Linked DNA regions of Tribolium castaneum. The protein of the gene in region 2 interacts with the protein of the main gene of each other region in a pairwise test. Links are inferred from orthologs where the notes say so. Each region holds a gene or a part of one and is shown on either strand. Other genes may lie near its edges.

Region 1 (10,544 bases), on a different chromosome or scaffold from region 2:
CATTATTGTGATTTACCCATAATTCTCAGTTACTTTTTACTTAGGATTGTTACCACTGTGAGATAATTAAGTTGCGCCCAACTCCCCCCGTTGTATATTTTTATTACGTTGTCGATTGGTTGTGTTTTAAGACGTGCCAATATGTATAATGTCCTGTACAAAAGATGTATAAATGTTTACCTAGTCAAATATATCACGCGTTAAGACAACACCCCTGTTTCTGGTTTGAATTTCGCGGGCGGTGGTGCCAACCTGCCAGCGACCTGTCACGTGACGGCGTCGGACGCTCGTGGGGCCTGGCGCGGTTCCGGGGCCCCATTTGGCCCCGATGGCGCCGCACCGCGCCAGAGGCGAGTCGGGGGACGCGCGAGTGTCGCGGCGTGGCTGGGGGCGCCGTTCCGCGGTCGCTTTTGTGGCCCCGTTTCTGGGGGATTTTGCTGCGGTGAGGTTTGCGGTTGGCGGACACGCGCAATGATCGTTAGAGTTCGCCGAACCGATCCCCTCTCAGTATGTTCGGGTGCACCATGTTCCGTGTTTCACAGTGCGGACTGAGGACTGCACAAAGCGCAATGTACCTGCGCCATTACTGTGGAGAGGAACTACGAACAGTTCTGTCAAAGTATACCCGTTTTTCTCGCTTTAGGACGACTTTAAATGCAGAATAACGTAACGGAATTGACGCACAGATTACTACGAGCCCTCGACACTAATTACAATGTAAGAATTTGCCTGTTTTTTACCAAATCACACCGACACTCGCCCGAAAAGCGTACACCATTATCCCGACCATCCAGCACACGGCTGCATGCCCGAGACCGCCAAATACCGCGAAAACCCACCGAAATCGGGCGAAATAACGCCAAAAACGCGATCGCCTTTTGTCAAATCGGCCCAATCGTGGTTGGCCACTTGACCCAAACAGTCGAATAATTTGACAGTTGGGGCGCTTTGCGCCCCAACTGTCTCAACTAACCCCGTTTTTTCCAGGTCATTGACATGCCTGCAGTCATCGAAATCGTCTCGCTCCTCGAAAAAGTCACAATTACCAAAGAACTGCTCGAGGTAAGTGTCTCCCGAGTGTTGCGCCCCCTCATCGTGCGTTTCAGACCACCCGACTGGGCAAGCACGTGAACGAGCTGCGCCGCAAGACCGACAACGACTCGCTGTCGAAGCGCGCCAAGGAGCTGGTGAAGAAATGGCGCAATATGGTGCTGCCCGACTCCAACGGCCAGCTGAAGCCCCTCGAGAAGCGCCCCCTCAACCGGTCCCCCTCCCCCAAGCGGCCCAAGCTGAACGGCCAAACGGCCGAACTCGAACTGTCCGATAACTCGAATTCGAGTTTCAAAGATGTGATAAGTACGAAATTGAAGCGTGATGTGATCCTCATTAATTCCGACTCGAATTCGAGTCAGCAAGAACCACAACTCGAGCAACAACAACCCAAGAAGCGCGGACGCAAAAAAGGCTCCAAAAACCACAAGAATCTTCTCGATGAGGCTGAGACGTCGTTCACGAATAAGTTGGCCGTGTCGAGGGGCAACTCCAAGGTGAAGACCACGCAAGAGTTGATTGCGGGGCTCCAGAATAAGAATAACACGGTCTTGGGGGCGTCGCCTGTTAAACCGAAGGAAGATCTGAGTTTGCGTGCAGCTAAGTTAACGGAGAGGGTGTCAATAATTGACCAGAAGCTTAATACAAATGCTAACCGGTTCAAGAATTCGAGGAAAATTAACTTGGGGGGCAAGAATGTGATCGAGTCGGGGTCGGTGATTAATGACAAGTCGCTGATACCGCCTGAAGAGGAGGTTATTGTTGTGGACGATGTCGAGCCGACGGTTGAAGACAAGCCGCCGGAGACGCCGCCCCCTGAGCCCCCCGAAGAGGCCAAAATCACGTCGTTGAGTGTCGAGGAGGCGCTAGCGCAGCTGCCACCGCTTGTCGTCGACGAGGAGGAGGAGCCCCAGCCTGTGTGCACCTGTATTCTGAAGGAGCACAAGGATTTTTCCGTTGATGATACGGAAGAGTTGGGGCAACCGTTTGAGTTTGTTGAGGATGAGGAGTGCGCAGCCAGGTTACACTTTGAGGGTAGGAAAAAAACTGAAGAGGTTACTCCAGAGGAGCTACATAGCAAGTTTATTGATAATGTGAATGGGAATTGGGGGGTTGGAGTGGCCAAAATGGGGCCTGAAGTTGACGATAGAGGTCTCTTTGTGAACGTAGTGCCTAATGTAAATACGGAGAGTATACCGAAGGATGTCAAAGCGGACTTTGATTGTGAGAATTATAAGAAATATAGCATTTCAGAGAGTGACAGGACAGGTGATAGAGTGTTTCGGGAGTGGCACGAGGTCGTCGAGACACCTTCCTACAACGGCGAAATTTTCAAAATTTTGCCTTACGTTATTATAGATTAAAATACTAGTCTTGTATTAATTACACCTAAGAATTAAGTTTTTTTTCCACTGAAAGACGAGGTGTCATATTATTTTATTTGAGACCTAGAAACTGAACGTCGGGGTCGCTTTTTTTAATTATTATTGCACACCGCTTTTATAATTGTGTATATTTTATTAGCTAGGCAATGTTTTCAAAGTGTTACGAGCTATGGTTATATATTTAAAAAAATGTCAATTCACACATTGGCTATTGTTAATTTATTAATTTGTTGTTTCAATTCGCATTAATTAGTTATGAGTTTGCCAAACGGGGCGCATTTCTTCCGTTTTGTTGTCAGGTAATTAATTAATTTTTCAGTTTATTGTACATAAATTTAGGTTGTTCCACCCCTTTATCAAAATAGTTATTGTACAAACAGTTAATTTCTCTAGTTGGAAAATATCAGTACATGATATTAATTGCCTTTTACGAAAAATAAACATATTTTCTATAAATTTGACACGGCTTTGGATTTGACACACCCATCCACGTGGTCGCGTTGCCATGCACACCGCCAATCGCGTCCTTGACACTCGTCACGTGGTCGCGTTGCCATGGCCTCCGCCAATAGGGCGGCATAAGTCGGGTCACGTGACTGAATTTGACACAAGGCGGGGAAAATATTTCATAAAATAACAAGCTATAGTTATATATTAAAAAAAACATCGATTCACACACTGGCTCTAATTAATTCGGATGTTGTTTCAATTCGCATTAATTAATTAGTTAGTTACGAGTTTGTTATATATAATTATTGTATATTATCCGTTTTATCGGGTATAAAAGTAGTTCAAATCTTAAGAGATAAATTTCTTCTTCTTCAAGAATATCAGTACATAATATAATTTGGCTTTTACGAAAAATAAACGTATTTTCTATAAATTTTACACGGCTTTTTTGACACACTCATCACGTGGTGGCGTTGCCATGGCCTCCGCCAATGAGCAGTGTGAGTCGGGTCACGTGACTGAATTGACACAGGGCGGGTAAAACATTTAATAAAATTGTACAAAATTAGACTTGTTCTAAGAGCGGAAAACCGTCTTCTCCTTGCGCGATCACAGCGTCGATGTTGTAGAACGAGGCATGTAAAGTAATAAGGAAAAATGAGGCTCCTAGGACCCAAAACATGGCCCCGTGGGCCCCCACCATGTAATAAACTGGCATGGAACATAGTGCTACCACTCCATAAACTTGTGCCAAAGTCAATTCTTTTTTAAAAAGCACGATTTTCTTCTCTTGGTGCCTTTTGTTAAGCTTGTAGCCTGCGTAAAAAGTCCCAGCAAGGGCGAATAGAATCAAAGGCGAGGTTATTCTGAAAGTAGAATTTTGGGGTTGGTGCTCACACTGAGGGGCTCCTTACAAGCAATAAACAACCAAACCGAGGAAAACAAATAAATAATTGCTCTGGAAGTACTCGATGTTTCTCATAATTCGTTTGCTGAGTCTTGGGACTGAAGGGGGCGTCTTGAAGTTGGAAGTTTGTATGAATAATAGCCAGGGACGCACGTTTTGTCTTTGTTTACTAAACCATTCTTTCGGGTCCGGTATTTGGGTCGGAACTTGCAGAAAACTAGAAAATTCTAGAATTGAGGTTAGGTCGCTTAAAAATCTCATACCTTGAAAACGGGGTCCGTGGTGAATTTTCAGGGGGCGACATCACCCCCGACACATCCACGGACACGTCTGCCATGACAAGGGGGCTGTTTTCTGTAATTAGGTCACCAGTCCTGTCACTTGCCCACTTGTGGCTTACCTATCACCAAATTTGTCGCCCACCCTTGCAATAACAAATCAGTCACCCCTCTGAGCGTCTTTGACACAGTGGATAAGTAAATGAGCCCCAGTTGTGGTGATTCAAACACCACCGACGTGTCACTTTTCAAACCTCGCGCCGTCGTCAAATTGACACTAAAATGGCGTCCGCCCGCGGCCAATCAGCGCGTAGCTTCGCGCGTTGTGATTGGTCGACTCAAACCCCAGATGCGTCGATTTTCGTAACCGTTTCCGTGTCGAAAATAGAGCGTGTGTTTGTTTTTTTGCGAATTTTGGGCGTTTTTTGTGCGTGAGAAATGTCTGAAGTGCGCCGGAAGACTCCCGAGATCACGTTTGACTCGGAGCCCCCCAACGATCTGGACTCGTCGTCAGGTTGTGAGCTGTCTTTCGAACTTTCGAGTGACTATGTACGCAGCCCCTCACCGAGGCGTTCAGCTTCGTCCAACCCGACATACAGCCCCCCGTACAAGCGGGTGCGAGCGCTGCGACTGTTCGACAGCCCTCTCACCCCCAAGACTATCATACAGAAGTCGGCCACGACGCCGGCCCCCAGGTGTCGGCTCTTCACGGAGAAGCCGCGCAGTGTCACCAACACCAAGCAGAAGCCGGTGGCCAACGTCAACCCCTTCACACCAAACGGTAACGATTTCATTATTTCATTGAGGGGCGCCTCCTGTTTTTTAGCACCATGGCAAGTCGTAACAGGAACTTCAATGAATTTATTTCACCAAAGAAATTATGGCAAAAACTTGCTCCTATTTTAAGGGCAATAATGTAAAGTTTGATAAATCATCTGCCGTCCTGCTATAATAGTGGCAAATTAAAAAAAAATAACTTTTAGAGAAAGTTATGTGGTTGTTAATTCAATGTTTAGCCGCATTTATACATATTTTTTATGTTTACAACTTTTCAAAAAGTAGTTTATTTAACCAGTCTTTTAGAATGTCTCTTTACCCAAATTGTTTAACTTAAAAATATCGTTTTTTAAGGGCAATTTATGACGTGAGTACTATACTATCTAAAATAACGTAAAAAATTTATATTGCCATATACTGTGTTTTCATTGGCTCACTTTTTACAAATACTACTTAATACTACTACTTCAATACTCAATGCTACTACTTAAAGCAAATATCAGATGTTCATTATTAAAAAAAACTCCCAGCATTGCCTGATATTTTTACGGATGTCTTGGAGCAATTTTTATCATTGTATTGTTGGTTGCCTACGAAACCAGCTCATTAGAATTTGTAACCAAAATTGATAAATAGTCGATCTGTTATGTGTATTGAACAACAAGAAATACATTCCCAACAGTTTTGATAAATAATAAATATTTTTATGAAAATCCGTTGTCTTTTTAATTGTCATAAAGTAAGGTTATGAGAGAACGAAATATCATAGACATACAAAATAATTGATTTTTAATTTCAATTCACTCTAGAGTGTTTTTTTAATGAACACTTGTTACAATTTCAAGCAGTTTTTAGTACAACAGTAAGTAATTAATAATAATATTACAAATATTAACATTTACGAGATAAATTTATGTAATAACCCAAGATAGAGAGATGTGGCCAATCTAACTAACTAAAAGTTCAATTAAAAGTGATATTATTATGTAAATTGTATTTCCTGATAATTAAATTATAAAATATAGCTTTTTTACATCTACAGGGTGAGTCAATAGTGGGTTGTGTCTGAATTTTCATAAATATGCAACCGATAATACCGATTCCAGCTAACGAGATCGGTAATCGTTAAAAAAAATAATCCAAGATTACATTGTTCTGGATATTGTCAAGATTGTCTTGACAGTTTTGTTAAAATTTCATTATGGAATATTATTATTTAAAAGATAAAAATCCAATGATGATTCAATTAATGTTTTTAAAACTCAAAGTTCCAAGTGGTAAGTGCAATTATAGTGGCGGTCAGCTCGATTTGCGTGTGCGTCATCAATTTCATTTTTTCATTACCAACACAAAGCTGTAAAAAAATTGTCAAAAACAATGCAAATTTAAACAACTAAGGGGTATCTAAGGGTGGTATCCTTGAACATTAATATACATGTGCACTTCGACAACACCGTTAAGTGTCACGAATTTGTCAACCTGACATTGACAGTAAATCATAGACGTCGTCGCATGGTTGTCGAAAGTGTTATCGGTGTTAATCGCAAGTATTTTTCGTTCGTTTATTGTGTTTTGGGATTTGCGTTTCGTTAGGTTTTTGATTCTGCGTTTATTAGTTCTTGTTTTGTGAATCTGTATTTTTTGTATTTTTTTAATTTAAACACTTCGTAACCTCAAAAAATATTTGATAGTTTGTCACCGCTATGGCCCTGCTATGTAAACGTAGTGACAGAAATGTCAGATGACGCACACGCAAATGGAGCTGAGCGCTACCATAGTATTTTTGGTTGCATTTTAGCACATGTCAGAAATAACCCACTATTAACTCACCGTGTATATGAGTTATTTTTACTTAAACATATGGAGTACAATCGATCGTCTCTAAGATATTTTGTGGAATTTACTTTGGAAAAGGAATGTTCTATTGCAGTTACTGTTTAAAAAAAAAAATGAATTTAAGCGTGAAAATAAAGCAAAAAGTGTTAAAAAATTGTTGGTTGCTGTGTTTTTGCTTGGGACAGCCGACTGTATGCAGTGTACTGTCGTTAAGAAAAATAGGCAATGCCGTTGTTTTTATTTTTTTTTTATTTCGAGATGCTTCTGTTTAAACCAGTTTTTGCTTTCACAAAGTACTCACTGATACTGAAATGTTTACTTGCTAAAAACTAAAATTTAAAAAGCAAATTAGGCAAATAGATTTGGGATCAATTTCAGAACAATTATTAATTAGAACAAAATTTGCCCACCTAAAAAAACTTACGATATTTTGAATTTTTACAACTTTGCAGAAACATAAATTACGTAAAAATTAGTAACCGTTAAAAGATTGGTTCATGATTTTTTTGTAAAAAAGGTTAAAAAAATTAAGTTAAAAAAACGTAAGTTTCGTTTTCTTTGATTTTTGAAATAAAGCCCTCTGATTTAGAAAACTGATTGGTTTCTATAGAAACCAATAAAAAGGATTTTGAATCAGATTTAGATTCGAATTAAATTACGAAGATCATCCACATTTTTTTTGTAACTCACTGAGAAACGAAAGACTTTATAAACTCTGAGAAGTTTTAATTTAATTCTTCTAATCAAAATAGAGGAATTTTGTTACATTGTGAGCAATTATAATCTAATTTAACTTATTATTTGATATTTATTAACAATTTACTAGTTTTAAATACATCTACTACAAACTGATTCACATCTATATTGAATCTATGGGTACAAATATCGGGTGATTCAAAAATATGTGGCATAATTTTAACCACGAATACCCCTCTACAATTAAGAATAGATAGGATAGTGTTTACTGACCTACCACAAAAAATTGGAAAATTACAATTTTTCAAAAATTGGTATGGAAAAATGGTTTTTTGAAAATATTTTTCTTACCGTTCATGCGATTATTATGAAATTTTGCATGTCAAGAGACACAAACACGCTCTTTGATATGGTGTAAATGGAAATTTTGTAAAAGCTATACATTTCCGGTGACAAGGGGGCCCTTCTAGTTTTTAGGTGATAACTCAATTTTTCGGCCTATAAACACGTATTTTTGATACCAAAAATCAAAAGCTCAATTATTTTTTAATAAAAAAGGAACTCTTGCTTCATATCGCCAAAATGTACCGTTCTCGAGTTATTTGGGATTAAACTAAACTCTACACCGCAGTGCAGAATAAAAAAGTATAAATTTTGAGCATACCATTACCTTGGAAACTGTCGACTAAGAATGACACAGCTGTCATTGCTGTCACATTTGATGTCAATTTCATTTAATCTAAAGTAAAATTTGATTATTTCTTGATGATAATAGTTAAAGACACGATTATGTGTTGGAAGAAATAATGCATGAGCTAGCGATAGCCACCCCGGCATCACAACTTGATCTGATGGCACACCACCAGAAAACGATTTTCCCTCCAAATCGCTATTTTTATCGATATTTCAATACTTGCATTATAAAACTATAATCCAAATGAAGAATTAAAACGATCAGAAACCAAGAACACAACCTCAACTGTAACAAATCACAAAATAAAATCTTATCAACCATTTATAGTACCATTATTGCAATTTTTCTTTAATAGGAAGTTAATTTAATCCACAGGTAGTTGAAACCTGCAAAGAATAACGCACGGTTTAATGTTTATTTACATTTTTTAAAATTACAAGAACTTCGACAACAATGAGCACAAAAGCAACAAATGCCGCCAGCGTGCTAATTGGCGCCAGTGCTATTTTTCGTAAGCGCGAAAAAAAAATCATACAGTCATAACGATTAAAAAATTATTTTAGTATTTGGAAATGATGCCCTGATCACCCCATACTGGTAAGTCAAGAAAAAAAAATGATCCAGGTTATTATTGTTGTTTAATAAAAAAACATTGACTTCATCATTCATATTTTTTTTGATATTCGCGCTTATGAAAAATAGCACTGGCGCCAATTAGCACGCTGGCGGCATTTGTTGCTTTTGTGCTCATTGTTGTCGAAGCTCTTGTAATTTTCAAAAATGTAAATTAACATTAAGCCGTGCGTTATTCTTTTGTGGATCAAATCAACTTCCTATTAAAGAAAAATTGCAACATTGGCATTACAAATAGTTGATAAGATTTTATTTTGTGATTTGTTACAGTTGAGATTGTGTTCTTGGTCTCTGATCGTTTTAATTCTTCATTTGGATTATAGTTTTATAATGCAAGTAGTGAAGTATTGATAAAACCAGCAATTTGGAGGGAAAATCGTTTTACGGTGTGAAAACCTTGTGGTGTAGTCTCAGACCAAGTTGTGATGCCGGGATGGCTATCGCTAGCTCATGCATTATTTCTTCCAACACATAATCATGTCTTTTACTATTATCATCAAGAAATAATCAAAATTTACTTTGGATTAAATGAAATTGACATCAAATGTGACAGCAATGACATCTGTGTCATTCGTAGTGAACTGTTTCCAAGGTAATGGTACGCTCAAAATTTATACTTTTCTATTCTGCAGAGCAGTGTAGAGTTTAGTTTAATCCCAAATAACTAGAGAACGGTACAGTTTGACGACATGAAGCAAGAGTACCTTTTTTATTAAAAAATAATTGGGCTTTTGATTTTTGGTATCAAAAATACGTGTTTATAGGCCGAAAAATTGAGTTATCACCTAAAAACTGGAAGGGCCCCCTTGTCACCGGAAATGTATAGCTTTTACAAGATTTCCATTTACACCATATCAAAGAGCGTCTTTGTGTCTCTTGGCATGCAAAATTTCATAATAATCGCATGAACGGTAACAAAAATATTTTCAAAAAACCATTTTTCCATACCAATTTCTGAAAAATTGTAATTTTTCAATTTTTTGAGGTGGGTCAGTAAATACTATCCTATCTATTTTCATTTTTAGAGGGGTATTCGTAGTTAAAATTATGCCACATATTTTTGAATCACCCGATATATTAAAATATTGAGTCAAAAACTAAACTGCTCAAAAAAAGTTGGACATGTAAGTGCGCATTGTGAGATTAATCGTGTCTAAGCGAGAAAATTTTTGCTGGAAGATACAAAACTGGTACAACTCTAAACAATAAAATAAAAAGTTTCATAGAAAACGCATTTGATATTATTTTTCATGCGGCTGCAGATTTTTTTTTTAATTTAGTATGTTTTTTTTCAGTTTATTAGTCTGGCAACATGCAAAATTAACTGAAATCTGGACAGTGTCGTTAAGGGAAAAATATTAGATTATTTATTACTGGTATTAAGTGTTATGTGCCCAACAAAAATTTTGTTGGCCCACCTATGTGCCCACCCAAAAATTGGGAGCTAGTTCCGCCACTGCTTATAGGTATTAATAATGTTGTTGCTTATTCCATAGATATTCTACAAGCGGTTACTTGATTTAGTTATTTTTTTATCTTAGTCAATAGAATAAAGTGGCCATTTGATATATTTTTTTCTATTTGATGATTTCTTTATCCTATGGGTGAAAAATTTAAAAAAATTCTCAATGTACTTATAAGGGAAAAAGTGGCATTATACACGTAAAGAAAAAGTGGCATTATATGTTCGCGATTCCTTTCTGAAACACATCACTCACTTATATAATGAACTATTTTCAAAATATCAAATTTATTTTAAAATGTTAGGTTTAAGGCAATCTAGTAGTTTCAGCTATGTTACATTCTCATTGGTCACAAGTTGGCCTCGTGGTCGCTAC
Region 2 (11,966 bases):
ACGAGTCTAAAGGAACTTATTTGTTTGCAGTTTGATGAAATATCGAAGGAAAATGTGGAGTTATTTTTGCAATTCTTGGCTGATTCTGGTTACTTTAATATATTGTCAATTGATAAGAAAACAGATGAAATTGAAACAAACACCGAAGATGAAGATATAGAAGAAGGGGCTGATTTTGAAAATGACTCGACATCTTGTGTTTTAAAAATACCTAATTTTGAAATTAAGCAGCATATCCGCAACGCTTGTTATAGTGAAGTACTGGCAACTGTATCTGAATTCCACTTGAGAGCTACATCTATTAAAAATTATGTAAGTGCTCTGAAATTACTATTACAAAGTACAAGTGAGAGGGCATTTGTTGATTTTGCAAACGCCGTATTGGTATTACTCTCTCAATCACAGAAGATTATGAACGAAACAGAACTTCATCACATCTTGTATACTCTGGTATATAACTCCAGATACTTCGAAACACACAGTGAGGTCCAGATCAAGAAAAAAAGAAAACGACCAGGGATAGCCAATACCCTAGATGTGGTGATAATCAGTAAGAACGTTGGAATCATTTTTGAATACAAAATGTATTCCAAGTCTGCAAATGAAGCTTTACAACAAATTTTTGAGAAGCAATATTACACTAAATTTGATGAACCTGACTATAAACACATTTCAAAAAAGATTTACGCTGGTTTGACATTCGAGCCAGAGGAGAAGAAAGTTTTTATAACATATCAAGTTGGAACTGAAGGAATAAGTAAATCTGTCTGTAGTGATACACTATTATAATTTATTATGTTAAAAAAATTAATACTTATTTTATTATTCTGCTAATGATTTGTTTATAGTGTTAATAATAAAATTCTATTTAAATTTCCAAATGCTTGGTTTGTTCACCAAGTTCAGCTAATTTTACTGTCCTGTTGATTCGCCAAAGGCCAAAGGCTCATGAGTCGAAGACGAATTCAGGATTGATGGTCGTGCCGATGATTCTCCTCGATAGACACATACCTATAAACGGTATAAGCTGTCGTGAAAGAGGAGATGCTGTAAGAATAGATCGGATTGTAGTCGGGGAATGTTTTTCGTACGACTGTCCGATTGTTCCTAGAGTGACAGTGTCGGGGTAGTCTTTAGCCAGTTGGGCCAAATAAGCATTAATCTTTAAAACAATAACTAAAAACGGGAGTTATTTTTTCCAAGTGTTACCTCAGCGTGGCGTAAATATTGGTCAAAAGTAATTGTTCCCAAACCTAAAGCTTGTCTCGATTTGTGGTAGTGTTTTTCAGCCTGAATGGCGGTTCCAACATTTTCGATTTCAATGCTAAACTCAAGATTGTTGAGCCCTCGTATTTGGCACTAGACAAGCCCACGAGGGCTAGTACTATCAGTACTGGCACTTTCATTGCGATATCTACTGAGGTATCGAGAGCAGAATCTCTTTTATAAACGTGGTGGATAAACAACAGTCTAATCTGCTGATTCTTCGATAAAATTGAATTGAATTTGTTCTAATTCTCTTTTAATCCAGTGTTTTAACGGATTACGTCTTCAGACGTTTAGTTTAGTGGTTAAAAATCCAGCTTCAATAGTTTAATCCCGTGATATTTCATCCTTGAGTGATACAAGACTTTTGTCTATTATTATTAGTTGTGACAAAAGAGCTAACAAAAGTGAAAACGAATAAAAAATTAATCCTCGATAAAAATTAGTTTCATCAATAATTTTTTTAGAAATGTGTAAAAAGTGCCATAAATTGCGACTTCATAATTAATTACCCGATTTTAACAAATTACTGAATAAAAAATTTCTCAATTATTTTATATCGTACATATTTTTGAATCAATGGTCCGACTAATGCCATTCAAATACTTTCGTGTTAATTATTATTTATTACTTCTTGTTAGTGTGATTATTTAATATAACGTTTGGGGCCCGTTTATAAAATGGTTTGTTAAAATTTAATTCGTTGTTAAAAGTTAACAACGCAAATCAAATCAAATTTGCTAATTTGTTAGTTGCAAATTAACTTAATGGCCCTTAGATATATATATATATATATATATATATATATATATATATATATATATATATATATATATCTAAGGGCCATTAAGTTAATTTGTTAGTTGCAAATTAACTTAATGGCCCTTAGATATATATATATATACAAAAATAAAAGTGTCTCAGATCAATGCAAAGCGCAAACAACATTCTTTTTATCAAAACTAAATTACTTACATAATGAATTTGTAAATGGTTTCTAATAATCTTAAGCAAAAAAATTTTTCTTAATTTCTGGGTCCATTAGTTATACTATAACTATAAAGTCTACTTTTGTGCCCTATTTCAATAAAAAAAATGCAAATCCGCTGTTGCTATTTTCATTAAAAAGGTAGATCTTTAAATTTAAACAGTCAGTATACAGCGTGCTCAAAAACTGGCGCACCAACTCATTGGTGTGTGGTAGAGAACTGGTTACATATAAAGGTAAAAATAGTAAAAAAATTCTTTGAATTAAAGTTATTGATAAATAACTAATTTTAGATAAATGATATGTGGCAACGTTGTCTAACAGTCATGATCGCAATAGAATTTGATCAACAATAAAAATAAATTATTTTTGAAACGGTTTCCTAGGAAATAATTCCCAGTGTTGGCACATCTACACATTGTGATTTTTTGGATGAATTTTAATTTTTTTTAATTAAAAAAACTGCTAAAATCTGATAGTAAATTTAAAAATAATTATTCATCGTTTTGTTACGGAACGATTACCTGGTATGAAACATAGAAATATAAAAAAATAATGATAACTAAAGAAGTTAACACAATAAGTTTGTAGCTCTTGATTTTTTAAAATATGACTTTAGGAATTTTTTTAACATTTTTCCCGTGATCTACACGTGTTCTCAACAACGTACCACTGCGTTGGTGCGCCAGTTTTTGAGCAGCCTGTAGATAAATCTAGATAATTCTTTTGTTCTACACACATTCACTGAAACTTGGTTAGATAATAACTTGATAATATCGGGTGATTCAAAAATGTGTGGCATAATTTTAACCACGAATACCCCTCTACAATTAAGAATAGATAGGATAGTATTTACTGACCCACCACAAAAAATTGGAAAATTACAATTTTTCAGAAATTGGTATGGAAAAATGGTTTTTTGAAAATATTTTTGTTACCGTTCATGCGATTATTATGAAATTTTGCATGTCAAGAGACACAAAGACGCTCTTTGATATGGTGTAAATGGAAATCTTGTAAAAGCTATACATTTCCGGTGACAAGGGGACCCTTCCAGTTTTTAGGTGATAACTCAATTTTTCGGCCTATAAACACGTATTTTTGATGTCAAAAATCAAAAGCCCAATTATTTTTTAATAAAAAAGGTACTCTTGCTTCATGTCGTCAAACTGTACCGTTCTCGAGTTATTTGGGATTAAACTAAACTCTAAAAAAAACATCTTTTTTATTGTTGAATTGGTGGTCAAAAGGGCATTGTGTGACAAAACCGATTTCGGGGTGAAATGGGGCGAAAACTGCAATAGTGCATTTGCGGAGCTATAAATATTGAAATTAGGTGAAAAAGTGGGAAAAATTATGAAGCAATTTGTGGTAAATAATTGAGTTTTTCGCTATTAGCAAAGTGACTTTCTTAAAATGTCATTTTTAAGAGGGTGTTAGTGTTTTTTCGGATTTTTATTTTATTAAACGGTTTCAAAGCTGACAACCAAACATACATCTACGCAAATTGAAACGTATTTTGCTAGTGTGAAACTGGCTTCATGTTCGGGTTTCTTCGGAATTTCGAGGAGCTGGTTTGGGGAGCTGTCTTCACACAAATCAATGTCAATGACACCCGAACACTAACCTACAAAATTTAACTTTGGAGGGAAACTGTCAATACGTTGTGTTAGTTGATTATGGAGACAATGGAAGTAGAAGAAGCCCCACAGGCGGGCCCTTCGGCCGAACCCGGCCAAGGCCCGTTACAAAAAGCCGATAACCTCCCTTGGTAACTCCCTCACTTCCAACCACAATCTCTAACAGTTCGTTAACAGGATCGAAAAATACCGCCCCCAGACTTTCCAAGAAATCGTAGGCAATGAAGACACCACCAATCGCCTGTCAGTCATCGCCAAACAGGGCAACCTCCCCAATTTAATCATTGCCGTAAGTGTAATTTTCCCCCTATCCACTCCACAATTAACTAGGGGCCTCCTGGCGTGGGCAAAACCACCACAATCCTGTGCCTGGCCCGAATCCTTTTAGGCCCAGCGTTTAAAGACGCTGTTCTCGAACTCAACGCGTCAAACGACAGAGGTATAGACGTTGTCCGTAACAAAATCAAAATGTTTGCGCAACAAAAAGTCACTCTCCCGCCTGGACGCCACAAAATCATTATCTTGGACGAGGTGGACAGTATGACCGAAGGGGCGCAACAAGCCCTAAGACGCACGATGGAAATTTACAGTAATACGACTCGGTTCGCTTTGGCTTGTAACTACAGTGAAAAAGTGATAGAAGCGATTCAGTCACGGTGTGCTATTTTGCGGTACTCCCGCTTAACGGATGCCCAAGTGTTGGCAAGGGTGATACAAGTGTGCCAACAGGAGAGTGTTGAATATACGCAGGATGGGCTTGAGGCGATTGTGTTCACAGCTCAGGGGGATATGAGACAAGCGTTGAATAATTTACAGTCGACTTTTAACGGCTTTGGGGTTGTTAATTCCACTAATGTGCTGAAAGTGTGCGATGAGCCCCATCCTATGTTAATTAAAGATATGCTCAACAGTTGTGTTACTGGTGATGTAAGGAAGGCGTTCAAGGTCGGTAACAATTTGAATACGTGTTTTTTTTTGTTATTTAGTGGAGTTTTGTTGCAGATTGTTGATCATTTGTGGAGTTTGGGGTACGCTGCCGAGGATATTATTAAGAATATTTTCAAGGTTTGCAAAAATATGGACATGGAGGAGAGTTTGAAACTTGCTTTTATTAAACAAATTGGGGTCACACATATGAGGATTGTTGATGGTTTGTGCTCTTTGGTGCAAATGTCGGGACTTATATCGAGATTATGTATGGAAGCTAAAGGAGTGAAGGGTGAATGATTACTTTAAAATTTGCTATTGTATTTAAATAAGTTTTTCAATAAAAAATATACAACTTAATTGGTGTTTATATTGAAACAAACAAATCACATTCAGTGCGACTTTATTCGATCATTAAAACGGAAGTATCACAACATAAATAATATTAAATAAAATACGTACATAAAGAAATAATCTCACTATTTTTCCTAACATCGTTTCGTTAAAAATACAAACAATAGAATAGTAAACGATTTGATTCAATCATTTTAAAATGCAGACTAGGTTTACGACATTTATTATTTATTAAAAATAAATTAATCATCGCTATCGCTGTCATTGTTGACTTGTTGCGCTTTTATACCTTCCTGCAATTGTAACACATGTTTGATGGGATGAGGTTTCCCATCCTCGCCTACTCTACATGGTTGGATGGTCCCAGATCTGGTCAAACTGTCCATTAATTCGACCAACTTCATGGCCTCATACTCTTTCTGCAAACAAAAAAATTACCCTGATTATTTTTTTCCTCAACAAAAAAAAAAAACAATTTTTGTTGTGGGTCGCCAGGAGCCACAATAACCGTTTTTTCAACAAAATCAAATTACCTGTTCCTCTGTCATATTTTCCATTGCGTTGGGATGCGGTTCTTCGTAACACCCAATCACTGGATTAATCCCATGTTTAAATTCGGCATATTCTTCAGTTTCGCTTCCCTCACTACCTGAACTATAATCAGCCTCGCCTCTATCTGAGCGCCCCCCTAAGAGCCCCCTTTTGGCAAAGAGACCCGCAGCATTGCCATAACCCGTATACTTAATCATCCTTTTGACTAAAATTATAATAATTATTTAAAAAATAAATAAAATGAATTGTTTTTACCGCTTTTTTTGCACAAAATGAACAACAAATCGGCCACCAAATCCCTCAACTGTGTTATCGGCGTGGTTAAAAGCCGACACAAGTGATTACGAAGTGTGGAGCCTTGTTCAGGTCGACTGTGCACATCTTTCAAAGGTGGAAGAATTTGGAGACGGAGATATTTTCGAATAGCACGTTCACTGTTTGCACTTTTCAATAAAATTGTTACGACAGGACACAAAATTTCGTATTGTTTTGTGACACCTTCAACGTTGTTAAATTTGCTTTTTAGCACCATCAGGATTTCGTAAAAAGCCGTCATATTCTGGCCTTCGAATTGAAATTTGGGTTTGAGGTTTTGGCCAGGTTGGACAGGTGTTATCAGATTTTTGAAAGTTGAATCAGGCATGTTTGTTAGTAAATTGATTACGTTGTTTTTTAATGCCAGGCCTTTTTCTTTATCTTGTGTTGGTACAAGAAGATACATTCTTAAGAGAGTGACCAAATGGTCACACTGTTCGTTTTCTTCTTTATCGTCATAGATGCCGTAACTTAATGTTACGTTAAATAGGGCTTTCAGAATTTCGCAAGCCAGGTCCACTTTTTGGTCCTAAAACAGAAAAAACAAGCAAGATAATTAATATTACTTTATTAAAACATCTTCCACTATTTCCCTACACATGTGATTTTTTTTTAGATTTTTTCCACACTTCCTTATAATTAAAATTATTTTAATTAATGAATTAATAAAACGATGCCTACAAACTGTTTTTGCACAAAGAAATATTCTTCATTGAATAAACAACAAGTTGTCTTAAAAAATTTATTATACAGGGTGTCTCAAAATAAATTGTTAAAAAAAATATAACTATACTTACATCCAAAATAATTTTTTCGGGTGATGCTTGGGCCGCTTCTTTCAGCATCTCATCTAGCATTTTAAGCAAAGATTCGACCCCTTTTAATTCTTCCTTTACTTTTGAGCGAACTTCAGAACACAGTGCTGTTAGTAGGAAAATGAGCTTAACATCGTAAAATCTGATTTCTTCCGGTATTTTATTCTCTTGGGGATTTTTGATACGTTCAGTTAACTGTTCCAAAACACCATTTTTGCAACACAGTCCTGCAGCAACAGGACTGTTGAAAATCACATTGCATAAACATTTTTCCACTTCAATTGCCAATAATAATTTACTAGCATCAAATTTGTACTGGGGATCGTCCAAACCGGAGTGTTTTTGCATGAGTTTGAACCATTCGTCTGTTATTAACTCGTTCAGACCCATTTTTTCCCGACTAAAATTTTTTGCATGTTATGAATTATCACCGAAATTGTATTGATTTGAATTGGCATAGGTGGCTACGGAAATTTAAATTTCTGTTGGTAACTCAAATCAATCAAATAGTTTAGGATTTAGCTACCATATGCCAATTCATTTCGGAATAATTCCGCAAATACCTTAATATACGAATTGCGATAAAGCAATTCATTAGTGTAATCTCACTATTGGCTGTTTTGGCCAATGTAAATAATGCCTCCCATAATTCTTTCCGTTGGTTATTTTTATTGAGTTCTGGAAACTCGAATACTTGTGAAGCCTTCAATACAAGATTGTTGTTTATTGTAACTGTCATTAAATATTTATACATACCTCTTCAACGAAACATTGTAGCGATTCTGCTGCTTCTTTTCCTCCTTTTATTATAGTTTGGATATGTTTATCCATTATTATTCAACACCTGTTAGTGTCTCTTGTTAGTTACTTCTGTACAACAACCACGTTAACGTACCTGAATATTTCGTTACGGTTTTATTGAATGTTTTCTTGTTGTTTACACACAAATTATGTTTTTCTGCTAAACACCACAGATAAAATTAGAGAAATTGACAGTTTTGACACCTGCGCACTGACAGCGTCAAAACTGGACGCCCCTTTTTTACAGGTATCTGTAACTTAGAAGCGCAACCTGTAATTTTTTTTTTGTTACGAAACGTTCTAGCATTTATTACAATGTTTTTTGATGTTTTTATGTGTAGTTGGAATTTCAAGCAACTCGATTATAGATTTCTTGTGCTAAAAAAATAATTTTATAAACATACAATCACCGTATTAGTGTTGTGAGTGTCGCGCCCTCTGATTGTTAATTGTAAAAGCACTAAATTTCTTTATCGAGTCTACGGAGGACTATAAGTTAGGAGACGAAACGTACCAAAAAAATAGTACGGCCGAGTAAAAATTCAACCAATTCACTAATTACTTGGAAAAAATACAGAAATGTTGTCGTAGCACTTGAGAAAAACTGAAAGAAAGATGAGAAAAAAATTATTTAAAATTTAGAATTTGCGCAAAGTTTTGTATTTCTTACGAAATACAAAAAAATTATAAAAATTATGTTTTTATTTTCAGCGGTTTAAGTATAAATTAAATTTCCAATACAAAATGAAGCAAATCCGCGCTTGAGCGTTTTTGAACGACTTTGGGGACTAAATGGTTGAAGATAGAGAACTAGTCTTGCGGACTTTTTTGTAGGAAATTTACTTCTCTACAACTTTTTTTCTAACATTTTTCTTGTATCTGTAACGGTATTCGCAGCGTTTTGAAAAATATGGGACAGAGAGCAAATTGGTTAAACTTTGAATTTTTTTTAAATAGATTACAGTAAAATTCTTGCTTATGTTTATGTCTTACTATTGAGAATTTAATGCTCTATCTGGCTGTGTTTTTTTTGTTTGCTATGTGTTAACCGTTGTACAAATACAACAATTTTTTTCAAAAATTTAGATAACTGCGCTCTCTGGCGACATTAACGAAACTATTGGGGACGGGAACGTTTTATTTGTACGTCGTTTGTTATCCTAACCTTTAGATATTCGTAGTCAAAATGTTTTAATTAAAAATTAGACCGAAATTGATGTAATTTAAGCCGCTTTTAAGCGATTTAACTGTTTTTTGACTCAAAAAACAGCTTAAAATAAGTGTTATCTTTATATTCTCATGTTTTCACGCACATTAATTACTAAGAGCGTCTCAAAATCAAAGATACCTTATGTAAAATCGTCCCATACAAACTTTTTTCGTGTTAAAATTTTTTGTTTAAAAAAATCGACCCAAAACACTTCTTTATCCGGAATTATTACCCACGGTTTAACACTAGTTTTGAACGTTTTTTTTTACTCATTCTGCGAGACCTACAGATGGCGACCACGACACACGTCTGTAAACAGTGCCGTGAAACAGTAAATATAAACATCGACAAAGTGATCCTTTGTTATGGAAAGTGCAACACATGCATTCACTATGCATGCAGCCCATACAAACCTGGAGAAATCAAGGTACTAGATAACTACAAGGAAAATATCAAATGGGTGTGCGACTCCTGCAGAATCAGACCCTCGCAAGAGGAAGCGATGAGACACCTTATAGATATTGTAAGTAACCTTAAGGGAAAAATTGACGACTGTCTGAAACAAATACAAAATCAAAACGGAACAATACAAAGGTTAGATCAGCTGTTAGCGGAGTCACAAACCAAATCGTCCAAACCAATAACAAGATCCAACAAAGGACACACAGATGTCATCACAAACCAAGAAAGAGAAAACCTGACGAACGTAAAAGCTCAGAAAAAAAGTAACAAGCCATCTGACAGGGTGATAGAAAACAACAAGCAAAAAAAACAAGTTGACAAGGAGGGTAACACAGTCCAGGACAAAAAACCCGAAACAAGCCAATCATTAAACCAACGAAACGACGAAAAAGAAGACCCCAACAAATCGGTAGGTTTTGAAAACCTAACCACAATAATAAACTATAACATACAATCACTATCGAAAAAAATAGACGCACTGACTATACAGTTAACAGAAGACGAAGTAGACATTGTAATTATCACTGAGCACTGGTGCAAGGACAACACCCTGGAAAGCTTAACCATCCCAGGATATAATATTATAAGCCACTTTAGCAGATCACTTAACCAGCATGGCGGATCCTTAATCGCAACAAGGGAGGGTATTTCCGCAAAAAATATTGAAGGCATTAGACCCCTATGTGAAGAATTCACTGCAGAAATCTCAGCTGCTGAGATTCCTTCAAAAAACTTAATAATAATGGCGGTATATCGATCTCCAAATCAGAACTTCAAGCACTTCATAGATAAAATTAATGAAGCACTAGAAAACCTGACACAAAGGAACCACTCTAGACGATACATTGTCGCTGGGGACTTTAACACCAATATTCTCAAGGATGGCGTCGAACAATCTTTATTAATCGAAACTTTCACAACATATGGTATGCAACCACTAATGAGAGAGGCATCTAGAACAACTGAAACTTCTTCTAGCTGCATAGATAATATATTTTCAAATATTAACATAGAAGAAATCTTCTCAAAAGAGACAAAAAGTTGGTGCATGTCTGATCACTACTGTCAAGTCCTGAAGATTAAGAACCCAGTGCAAGAACCTAGAAAACCAGAAAAACATATATACAGAAGAATAAATGAACAGAATACTTACTACTTTAAGGAGTACTTAACCGGAATTGAGTGGGCTCGTGTCTTCAAACACCGTAATGCAAAAGAGGCCTACACTGTCTTCCATACAACTCTGACAGCTGCCTTTGACAAATTCTTCCCTAGAAAAGAAAAAATTAATAAACCAAAATTCAATAAGAGACCTACGTGGATTAGTAAAAAAATCATGAGTATGAAAAATACACTAGAAGCTCTACAAACAATAGCAAGAGTTGAGAAAAGCCAACAATCAGCTGAGGTCTTCAAGTCATATAAACGCAGCTACTTCCAAGAAATTGAAGAAAACCACAGAAACTACAACGCTTATATCCTAAACAATGCTGATAATAAGCAAAAAGCCATTTGGAAAATCATCAATACAAAAACGAAGACAAGCAATACCAAAGAATGCAAATTGAATGCCGACGAACTCAATCTCTACTTTGCCACGATAGGAGAGAAAACGTCAGACAGTATAAAAAAAATCGACAAAGATCCTTGTGATTTCCTCAAGGCGTGTAAAAGCAATGCAAAATCGTTTTGGTTAGCGCCTGTTAGTGAAGAAGAGGTCACAAGACTGATAAGATCCTTAAAATGCAAAAACTCCAAAGATGTGTACGATATGTCTACGTCATTTTTGAAAGAAATACTCCTAGAAATTACAAATCCACTTACTATGCTCATAAACAAAAGTTTTATTGAAGGATACTTTCCTGACGAGTTAAAGGTGGCAAAAATTATTCCGGTTCCAAAAGAAAAAGGCGAAGTAGAAAACATCAACAAATTTAGACCAATCTCTATTCTACCTACAATTTCAAAAGTCTTCGAGGCTGCTCTGAAGAATCGTTTAATGAAGTATCTTGAGCAAAATGACTTATTTAGTGAGTCACAACATGGCTATAGAAGTGGTAGATCAACCATTACTGCAGCATTGGATCTATACAAGAAAATAACAAGAGCCCTAGATAACCGAGAAATGGTAGAAGTAGCGATGTGCGATCTAAGCAAAGCGTTTGACACCCTGCCACACAAGTTGATTCTACAAAAATTACAACACTATGGGATACGAGGGATCACGCAAGAAATTTTTAAGTCCTACCTTGAAAATAGAACCCAGATAGTAAAATGGAATGAAAAATGGTCAAAGCCTCTGCCAACAAGGTGTGGAGTGCCCCAGGGATCAATCCTCGGTCCACTGCTATTTATAATCTATGTAAATGACTTGCCTATCAATATGAGAGTGGATGGACAGTGTCTATATGCGGACGACACTTCCTTCTGCATCAAAGAAGAAACAGAGGATACGCTAAAACCAAAAATGAGAAAAATCCTTGAAGATGCCAATGAATGGTTCACAGCAAATAAACTGAAACTCAATGGAGACAAGACTCAGGAACTATTTATATCTTCAAAACCCACCAACGTCACATCGGTAAAATTCTTGGGATTTTACCTAAATAGCAAAGCATCTTGGAAGGACCACATTC

What was found.
Region 1: the proteins of ric8a (region 2) and prenylated Rab acceptor protein 1 interact in binary tests that used the Homo sapiens proteins (3 or more experiments, as listed by UniProt). The link is inferred for Tribolium castaneum from reciprocal best matches to the Homo sapiens genes RIC8A and RABAC1.

The regions. Positions count from the first base shown.
Region 1 is NC_087401.1:8,444,992-8,455,535, reverse strand, and holds prenylated Rab acceptor protein 1, read right to left. Parts: upstream 4,349-10,544; 5' UTR 4,193-4,348; intron 4,147-4,192; exon of another isoform or gene 4,140-4,146; 5' UTR 4,130-4,139; coding exon 4,056-4,129; intron 4,010-4,055; coding exon 3,800-4,009; intron 3,752-3,799; coding exon 3,451-3,751; 3' UTR 3,419-3,450; downstream 1-3,418. Other genes in the region: uncharacterized protein MED26, read left to right, coding at 655-717, 988-1,062, 1,107-2,414; Wee1 (wee1-like protein kinase), read left to right, coding at 4,509-4,851. UniProt on the Homo sapiens protein: General Rab protein regulator required for vesicle formation from the Golgi complex. May control vesicle docking and fusion by mediating the action of Rab GTPases to the SNARE complexes.
Region 2 is NC_087402.1:964,324-976,289, reverse strand, and holds ric8a (synembryn-A), read right to left. Parts: upstream 7,908-11,966; 5' UTR 7,753-7,907; intron 7,702-7,752; 5' UTR 7,689-7,701; coding exon 7,614-7,688; intron 7,561-7,613; coding exon 7,421-7,560; intron 7,258-7,420; coding exon 6,840-7,257; intron 6,572-6,839; coding exon 5,983-6,571; intron 5,933-5,982; coding exon 5,709-5,932; intron 5,595-5,708; coding exon 5,418-5,594; 3' UTR 5,208-5,417; downstream 1-5,207. Other genes in the region: uncharacterized protein LOC135267077, read left to right, coding at 1-789; RfC4 (replication factor C subunit 2), read left to right, coding at 3,934-4,025, 4,072-4,183, 4,225-4,839, 4,897-5,121.